Linked DNA regions of Neodiprion lecontei. The protein of the gene in region 1 interacts with the protein of each later gene in a pairwise test. Links are inferred from orthologs where the notes say so. Each region holds a gene or a part of one and is shown on either strand. Other genes may lie near its edges.

What was found.
Region 2: the proteins of myosin-VIIa (region 1) and cadherin-99C interact in binary tests that used the Drosophila melanogaster proteins (3 or more experiments, as listed by UniProt). The link is inferred for Neodiprion lecontei from reciprocal best matches to the Drosophila melanogaster genes ck and Cad99C.

What each region holds. Positions count from the first base shown.
Region 1 is NC_060264.1:23,440,584-23,445,447, forward strand, and holds the start of myosin-VIIa, read right to left. Parts: upstream 3,003-4,864; 5' UTR 2,908-3,002; intron 2,889-2,907; exon of another isoform or gene 2,468-2,888; intron 1-2,467. Other genes in the region: angio-associated migratory cell protein, read right to left, coding at 4,401-4,473, 4,544-4,725, 4,805-4,864. UniProt on the Drosophila melanogaster protein: Myosins are actin-based motor molecules with ATPase activity. Unconventional myosins serve in intracellular movements: can function in cells as a single-molecule cargo transporter.
Region 2 is NC_060260.1:9,972,932-9,977,879, forward strand, and holds the start of cadherin-99C, read right to left. Parts: upstream 3,006-4,948; 5' UTR 2,373-3,005; coding exon 2,370-2,372; intron 1-2,369. UniProt on the Drosophila melanogaster protein: Cadherin that functions in epithelial morphogenesis and the intestine epithelial immune response. Essential for female fertility. Regulates the length and organization of apical microvilli in developing follicle cells and salivary glands.

The DNA of each region.
Region 1 (4,864 bases):
ACGCGCAGTAAAACGACATTTATGGCACAAGCGTAAGTATGTAACGCGACAAGGCTGTTTATCAGGCAGCCTTCGAGTATCATAAAAATCCATCATCATTACATAGATCCCGCATTCCCGCGGCATATCTTACAGCCCACAGCGACTTGTAACGGGCACGGGTTTAATTCAAGATGCGCGTGTACTGTAAGCCTGTAACTTCGACGGTGTCGAAGAGGATGAGGACGTCGATACACGCACGTATTGTACGTTGTACGCGTAACATGCATACGATGCCCGGAGTGCTCTATTCGGCCTCGTACGCAAAACAATCACCGGCCACGAGGTGCAACGTGTTTCAGTGTTGGGCGTCGGGGATGTAATTACCATAAGCAATTATCGCGCGAACCTGCACCGGTACTTACAACAGTAGGTTGCTGCTGTTGCTGCTGTTGCTGCAGAATACCTAGATCGAACCTAGATATTTTATTCATTTAACGTGCGCAAACGGGCCCCTTTCCGTTTCTCATACCGATGCTGTTCTTCGAGACCCGTCGCGCCGCGGCGAGACAGGGGAGTTGTTATCCTGGTCAATCACCGTTAGCGCTCACGGTATAAGAGCCAACTTTAAACCTGTTTGCGAAGTGGGTTAGATATTCTGCCTGTATACATTTATACACGTACAGTAAGTGTGTACACAGCCGCGCAACCCGGCTGGATAACACCATCGTCGTCGGTTATATCCGCTTACGCGTTTATACATATAAGACTCGATAGTCGATAATTCGCGTCAACTGTACCTATGCTGAAAAATGAAGCGCACATCCGATTCGCTGACGACGATGTTTACGTGTGTGCGTTATGTCTAGTGCTCCGGACTAAATTGCAGATCTTTTCTTTTGCTTACCCTCCTGCGGCTCTCTTCCTCAACCGCGGTTCATTTTCAATATAGCTAATTATCACCAATCTTCATGGTACGTGACTCTGCACGTCGAGAGAGGGATGGTGAGAGTTCGTTGTATTGTTTACACAACGCGTAGGTATATCCGAGTGCGTGCGGTCATATTTCTATGCACTTGTTTATCGGATATATTATATGTCTTGTCTGCATGTTGGCTGTATGTGCAGGAGGGTACTAATGAGACTGAAGTTAGTAACGTTAAGGCCACGAAACATTCAGGGAAACATGATGATTTTCGCTAGTTTATAGTGACTTTGAAATAGTTCAGTTTTCGAAATATGAATACGTTTTGCCTTATTATGATTTACTGCATTTCAGACATTTCTGCAACTGTGTAATAACGATTGTTTCGAAACGTAAATCATTACAATAACGTTACTAACTTCAGCCTGATATGTACTACGTAACGCCGCGCGCACGTGCGCGACCCGAGTTAAGCACGACTCGTAGATGTGAATGTATAATTCATACCTAGGATAGGTATGTACATGCATACATACACATCGAAACTTGGATTTCGAGAATATCAGGCATTCAAATCACATTCGGAGCTCAAAATAATGTAATTAAACATACAGCTAACAGGTCTCAAAGTGAATCGGGATGGTTGAAACGGTCAACCACTACATCGGGTGGCGCGTTTAGTTACTGTTATAAAAACATGGAAAATCTCAGTAATTGAAGCAATCAGAGGTTAACAAATACTCCAATAGATATCGAAGGATCGTATACTTGTATGTGCATTATAAGCACACGCGCAACTGTGCCAACATTGATCATATGACATAACGAGCTGATCTGACCGAATGCCGCGTTTCCTGGGTACCTTATAAGTCATACCTAATGCATAGTATACATGCTTACATCACAGTATACATGCGTACTGAAATTGCGGGATCGTGGCGACGCGATAATTTTACACGACGTTTAATTATTACTTTTCTCAGGTATGTATGACTCATACTCATAATTGTTGTACCAAAAAAATTTGCACGCAGCTATATATACACCGTTTAGTACTGTAGGGAGGAAGGAAAAAGGTGTCTACGGTAGAGAAACCGGAGTCTGAAAAAATTGTTCTCCGAGTGTACTTGGCGCGAGAGCTTACCGAGTCTCTCGATACGCCCGATCGGGAATCCCGTACAACAGCCAGGGTATTAAGCAGCAGCAGCAGCACAGCAGTCATTGACTGCAAAAATATATGGGGAATTCACGATGAAGGAAGGAACGGTCAGCGGTAACGGTAGGCCTTACAGAGTTCGATTCCTGCTAGACGCGGCGGAGCGTGAGAGAGATGAGAAATATAATATTTTCTATACACACGATCGTGTATCTAGGCGAAACTATTGAAAAAGCAATTGACCGAGCTTCAAAAATCGGGCGTATCAGTGTATAATCCCTAAATGAAATACAGATCGCCGTAGTAATTTTCCAGTGTCTCGTGCAGAGATCAAGGTCCCTGTCGCTTCCCACAATATTACGTGTATGTATTAACATCGATTTGTACGTAACAGATGCTTAGCTCACCTTGTTGAATACGCGTAAGTAATTGCGGGTGTATTAATCGGCTAAATCCCAAGACTCCATAAGGCGGCACACTGCAGAACACTGATCGGTACTCGGCGACCTTTCATTCCCAAAATATTCACCGTCTATTACAGGTGTGGAAGATCGAATCGTTAAAGTCGCGGCGATTTACGTAAAAGTAGAGCGCTAAGAAGGCGCGCGTCGCGTCTCGAGACCGAGGGTTCGCCGATAACAAGATAATTGTAATGAAACAAGGGTAAAGAAACGATCGAGAATAATATCCGAGCAGTTTTTAACGCCGAAGTCTACCTTTAACCACTTATACGGCTACAACGGGCCGTACGGGGTACGCGGTCACCGGCACATTAACACCACACTCGCTCGGGGAGGTTCGGTTTAGATCGGAAAGTGACTGTGGCTGTCGCCTGCCTTATGCCTACCTGTAGCCAGGTGGAAGTGGCGGCGTGCTGCTCGCTGTGCTAGGCGAGTAAGGCGAGGCGCGGCAAGGTAAATAGCTGACTGAATGTTGACTGAATGGAGAGCGCGAGTCACGGCGATTCGACGACCGCACCGCGTTACGGCAGGTGAGCGAGAACAGGGGCAATACTTCGAGGACGAGAGGCCCCACCTGACGTCCCGATTTGAACTCACCAGGGGAAGAAATCCGGAGAAGGAACGAGGATGCAACGACTACCTGCCTGACCTACAGACCGCCTCGCTCTCACAAGGCGGATTCCTGATGATGATGATGATGATAACTGATTCGAGGAGGAAGAAGAAACCGAAGCTCGATCGGGAGGCAGTGTTTAGATTACACGCGTTTCTTAATTCTTTCCATTCGTGCTATTTAGGCATCGCACTTATTCCCGTATGCGAGTGAGGAAAACTTTCTTCCTCAGCCTCTTGCGAGATGAAGACACTTCATTTGCGAATTGTGATGAAAGTAGATCTTAAGGAATCGGAGCTTAATGTTAGTCAAGACGATACCGATTCTTCAATAAACCCAAGTTTTAATCATTAAAATAAAGGGGAACCCCAGGTCTACTGATGTATCTACATTGTATGTGGGCATTCACATAATTGCGCATGATGAATCAATTCCACGCAGTCCGAAAACGTTGCGAGCAACATATCAAGATTAGAGCCGAAAAACGAAAGATTTCGTTGGCAATTCCACTGCTGTTGGACTCACGCTGTTTTTGATGTCTTTTTCTGATTCCTGACGGTCCAATTAGTGGAATAAGAGCACTGCAAAACGAATCTCAGACGAAAACTTTGCGAGCTCTGAAAATCGCACAAAAGCAAGGAAACCCTTTGGATTTATTCAGTTGAAATTTAGCCGATTTGAAGAAATGGTTAAATTAATTCTTTGTGCACTATATCGACGTAATTTTTCGAGAGGAATCGATTGCACACAGTTCGAATACGGTGCGAGCATCTGATCAAGAGTTCCAGCCGAAAAATTAAAGATTTGTAATCTTTCCATTGCTGGTCTGTTGCTCGCTTTGCTAACTTTTTGTGCTCCTGAGGGTCCAATTAGTCTACAAAGGGCCATACAAGACGATACTAGGACGAAAAAATGTTTTGCTCGAAAAATAAGACTGAATTTTTACTGAAAGTTTTGACAGTTTTGAAAAATGCTGGAATCAACTCTTTGACGCGCTATAAATCATACATAAATGGGGCAAATAATAATCGTAACAATTAAGTTAACAAATAATTCTTTACTGTTCAGTATCTAGTATACAATATAATACAATTTATTTTTCACCATCCTTGATTCATGTGGAAATTTGCTGAGGATAATTATATTGGTGTGATTAAAGAATCACGGGTAATTATCCTCTATCGTATGTCGATCAAAAATCGTTTTCTCCAAGATAAAACCCGCATTTTTGTGATCAATGGGAAATAAATCCTCTTTTGTGATGTGTCAATTTGGATCACCGATATTGAATATCCGGGCAGTGGAGTCATCCGAGGTGGTTAGCATTGTCTTTCCATCGCTATAAAACCGAATCGGTCAATTAATTTAGCTTTCGTTTACGACCGTATAAATCGTTGATTGATTCTTACCGAGAGATTACCAAATCGAGAATATCCGCGTGATGTCCCGTATAGGAGCGAAGCTCTTCACCAGATCTTGCGTCGAACGATCTCACCACTCCGTCAAGACCCGACGAATACAACCGTGTTGTGTTCAGGTGCCAAACCAGCTTGCTTATGCCACTGCTCTGCTGGATCTCGTGCCGAATCATCTGAGTTAAGAAAATCCCACATTTAGGCATAGCGAATGACAAATAATCTTGCGATTCCACCTTCACCATTGGGACCCACCTGTTTTGCGATGTCCCATATGAATATCTGTCCGTTTACTGTGCCTGAAACAGCAACTGG
Region 2 (4,948 bases), on another chromosome or scaffold:
CGTCGAATCCTTCAAATTTGTCTAGTATCAAAGTCTACTTCTTGATGCAATTAATTTATGTCGCAATTGAACGAACGGAAGACTACGGTCAACCCTTTCATTCGCAGTGGCAATCTTTTTTCTTCTCCTTTTTTTTTAATGTTCTATTGGAAAATCCCGAATTTTTTATTTTTTTTTGCATTCTCAGGTAATTGAATTGCGTGATTGAAAGGGTAAAACGCGGAAGCTGTAAAGTAACTTTCTTCCACGGCATATTACGCGGTCTTCGCTATTGAGTAAATCCGTAGTACGTATATAAGATGTAAATTGAAAAGTGTTCGCTCTAGTGCGTAGCTGCAGGCAATTTCAGCTCGCAAAAGAGTCAGAAAAAAATAGAATTATTACCTCACCGCACGCGATAAGGGATTAGGCAATCACGTGTATTTTGCATTTTACTAACAATAAGTACGAGAAAAGATTGGTTTTTGACTCACAATGTATGTTCAGTTAGATTAACGCGTTATATTTTTTAAATTAATTTTCTAGCAAGTATCGCGCTTGTTTGTTTGCGATGCGGTGTGGCATCTAAAGCAATATTGAAATCTAAAAAGCCAAGGATGTAGAAGCGTTGAAAAACCCATCGATTCATGATTCATGATTCATGAGCCCGGATCGGAAATCCGTAAAACCAGCAATTTAACCTTCGGTTATGATTCTGCTCTTCTGTTGCAAGAGAATTAGACTACAGCGAATCACCAATTTTACAGTTCGACCAAACAGACTTTTTTCAGTCATTTCGAATGAATCTAAGTGATTCTTATAGAGTTTTTGCCCCAGAATTCCGCTTCAACCACAAAAAGATCAGCCGCATCCAGTTTGACGGTTAATTGAATTTGGAAACAGAAATGTACGTTTTCAACATTTTTCGAGAGATTGCGACTTGAACTTAAGATGTAGTTTGAGAAACCAATAGTTTAATTAAATTACTTCATCAGAACATATTTTCCCTCGTTTTTTACCCGTGAACATCAAGTGACTTAGAGATTGCAATGTCTAAATATTTTTATATCCGTATCACTTGCTCACTTCTTTTGTTCACGAAAGCTCTGAAGTGCATTTTATATTAAACGAACAATATTTCTTACGGTTCGATTTTCAAGTTGAATGTCAAGCCTTAATATGTCAATGTCAAGAATGTCAACTCGCTAACGTATTCTACCTCCGATTAAAAAGCTTTTAGCAGATCAAAAACGGAATGTGTAATGCATTTTCAGAAATAAAATAGAGTTCTAAGTTTGTTAGTATCTGGGAATCGTCCAATTTTATTTCTTATGATTTTTGCTCGTTCAACACTGTATTTTTGCATGAATTACAGATTCGATTATTTATTGGCTCTAGCCTGGGATGTCGACAACGTCATAATCTCATTGAAATCATTGGAGTTGAGGGATTCTAACCGGTTGCAAATATTAATCAACGAACCGATGTGATCTCTTTTCGATCCACTCGCAGGTCTAGACCGGAAATTGGAATCCGGATGGAGCTAATAAACTTTCCGCAGGTGTGTGTGCAACAAACCCGTAGTGTACTTACTATCTGTAGATCTCTGATCTCTTCGTACCTATGCCCTTCGTTTTCTCACCTACGTTTGATCCCCATAGCTGATAACTTTTCACCTGCGTCATTATATTTTCGCAACTGATGTTTACAATATTCACAGGTTTGTTGATGGCAATCTGAATAATCCGGAATTTCCCCGGCCCCATTCGAAGCCAATTTACCATTCGTGTTCTAATTAATAGGTAATTGCATTCTTAACTCCAATGTGAAAGCAGCGTTGAAAATTTTACTTCTTACCATTTCACGAGGCTGAAGTTAATAAGATTAACGTAACGAATCATCAGGGATAATATCATTACTGTGCAATTCCTGAACGAATTTCAAGAACTTGGCTTTTAAAAATATGAGTATGTTTGGTTTATCATGGTTCATCAAATTTGAGACGATTATTTCTCCTAAACATCCACTGTTACGGTAACGTTACTAGCTTCATCCTCATACCATTTCTGCTATCGATCATTTTCCTCTTCAGTTAGTCAACGTGAGACAACAGAAATACATGGCTCTAGAATGCAGAAGGAGAATCGATAGACCTTACTGCCTATATTCATTATTCGATGCGTCAGGGCGTAAAGAATTTCAACATTTGTCACAAGCCTCTGTTGAGCTACAGCCATGTGTGATAGACTCGATGACAGTGTCATCGTAGACTCAAAACGTTGTACGTAGACTAATAGGACGCGATCAGCGATGATCAAAGGAAGATATTTCCTCGTGAACTTTATAATTTATATCTATACCCATGGATCTCGACGGAGTAAAAGACGTACCATGATCGGCGAAAGTCAGTATCCGTTCCAGTAGCAAAGTATCTGCATATCCGCTTTGGAGGATGAGGTGTGAGGTAAGTCAACAGATCGGCATGTCACAATGATCACAGTCACAGTCACGGGCACACGGTGGCGTTGATGAAATTTCTCACTTTTAAGAACGACGCGGAGTACAAAAAAAAAGAAAAAAAAAAAAAGATAGAGAACTGACAAGGTATTTTTACCGCATAGACCGATAGATTCGTGCGCTCTAAAGACTAGGATACTAATAAATCCGTTTCGTAGGTAGGTATTCACATTCACCCCGCACAGCACCGCACGACACATGCACAAGAAAAGGATCGCGCGAGTAGCGATTCGCTCGAGGCGAAGCGGAGCAAATCGGCGAATGTACCGCGTGTCACTGGGGCAACGGACACGTGACCCTAATATCGGATCGGCACAACGATAACTCGGCGTTTGTTGTCGAGGTCTTCGAGTTCACCCGTTAATACGAGGCGTCTCCTCGCGCCTTATCAACTCCGTAGTACAACAACAGGGGCTGTTGACACAAGTGTTTTGACAGCGATCAACAGGCAGCTCGGCCGCACCGCGCGCTAGATTTTAAACCTGGCGGACTCGGACTGAGTGCTCGGCGCTCAGGTAGACGCCAAAGTGCCGTCGGGGCCGATCGGGGTCCCCTTCCTTCCCTTTCCTTTCCTTTCCTTTCCAACGGATAGCCTCCCTTCTCTTGTACCTCTTTCTTACATTAGCCGACGACGCAAAGTCCCAGTGGAAGGTCCCCTCCCCCTCTCTCCTCGCCTCTTTGCGCCTCTTTGCGCCTTTTTGCGCCGCTTTGCGCTCAGCCTTTCACGTACGCATCTCCCTGTCTTACCACCATGCGTTTAATTATCGTTTCCGCAAATAGTAGCCCAGTCGCTATGTACAAAAAAGAACACCTAAAATTGCAATTTTTCGATACCACTATTCGATATTTCTAATCGTTGGGAAAGGGGGATCATTAATAGTAAAAATACAAAATTTCGACCAAATATCTTCAATAGCTTCGACAGTCGTCCTGAATTTATTGTTTAAGTCGGGAAATTTTGACCGTAGGCAAAAAAATGTTGCGACCAGAGTTGTAGTGAATTAAATTTCCTGCAAGTCTAGCTGAGACCATTTTAATACAGCTGAAAATGGGTGAGTAATATGAAAAAATGAAAATCCCACATAAATTCCGTTATTGCGGCTGAAGCTACTTCAGAATCTGGTCGAAACTCTGGATTTAGACTACCAATGACGCCCCTAATGATTAGAAAAAGAAACTAGTGGTATCGAAAAATTGCAAATTGACATCATTTTTTGTCATCGATACGAAAAAGTTGAAAGCTGGATTTTACAGATATATGCAGAAGTTTGCGGCTCTTGTACATTTTTAATTTTTTTCCCCACATATTTATAAATCACTTTTTTCTCTGTACATCTTTTGCCAAATGCTTCTATACTATAGATGTGTCGAATTTTTCTATGATTTTCTACAGTGAAAATTACAGTATTTGTTCAAAGTTACGCGAGCTCGTTAGAATCGAATTTTCTGTGGTCATTCGCTATGACGAAAACTGCATTTTCTAAGAATTTTTTGAACATTCTGTCTACGATTCTATATCGGATCTGTCGATCGTTTTGTAATCTATCGTTCTGGTAGATCACTGCCCACATCAGCTGACGTAAAAAAAATTTGCGCATAAATTTACTAAGACACACAATTCTTCTAAAACAGTCGAAATCAAGAAAAATAAATAATAACAGTGAAACTAAAATGATTTTCAAACATGCAAAGGTATTATTATGTACGTTACTGGCAGCTGAAATAATTTGATAATAACAAATAATCGTATTTTAAAACTCTGTTTATCCACAAAACATGTAAAATTTTTCCGGATATATTATATTGCGAATAATGATGGCGATGCAAATTACTTTAGGATATTGAGCTTTCTTGGTTAACATTAACGTTTTTACTAAGCGTTAACGTTCGTTAGTAAAAATAATAACGGCGAAGAAAGTAAACATTTTTATTCTCATCACTAGTCTGATTCTGAGCTTGTGGGGGATATAACAACGATAAGCGATATATTTTCCATTCATTGAAAGCCCAGCCGAAAGTTTTGAATAAGGCGGGTCTTTGAGATCTGACAGAGATTTCAAAGAGATACATATTCGAAAAGAAGACGCGCTCGTCTTATGAATGAAATGATTTTCGTAGTCCAGCCCGAAACGTGATAGCGACGTTGATCTTGCGAAGCTTCGCCGGCCCTCGTTTATTGTTAATTGCGTTAGAAGACAGGCGTAATTAGCAATTAGTCGTCTCTCCGTTTTTATGCAATTAAACATTGACCCTATCTAGAGTAACCGGTTCGGCGTGACTTTATAAGCCAAGTGGATGATGCGGTCGGGTCTTAAAAATATTTTGGCACGATAACGAGAATAATAAGGGATTCTCGTTTGAAGATGACGAGTATTTCTCGAATTGCGCGAAAGGATAAGAAGTGAGACATATTTTAGATACACTGCCGGCCAAAAGTTTGTGTACATCGGTC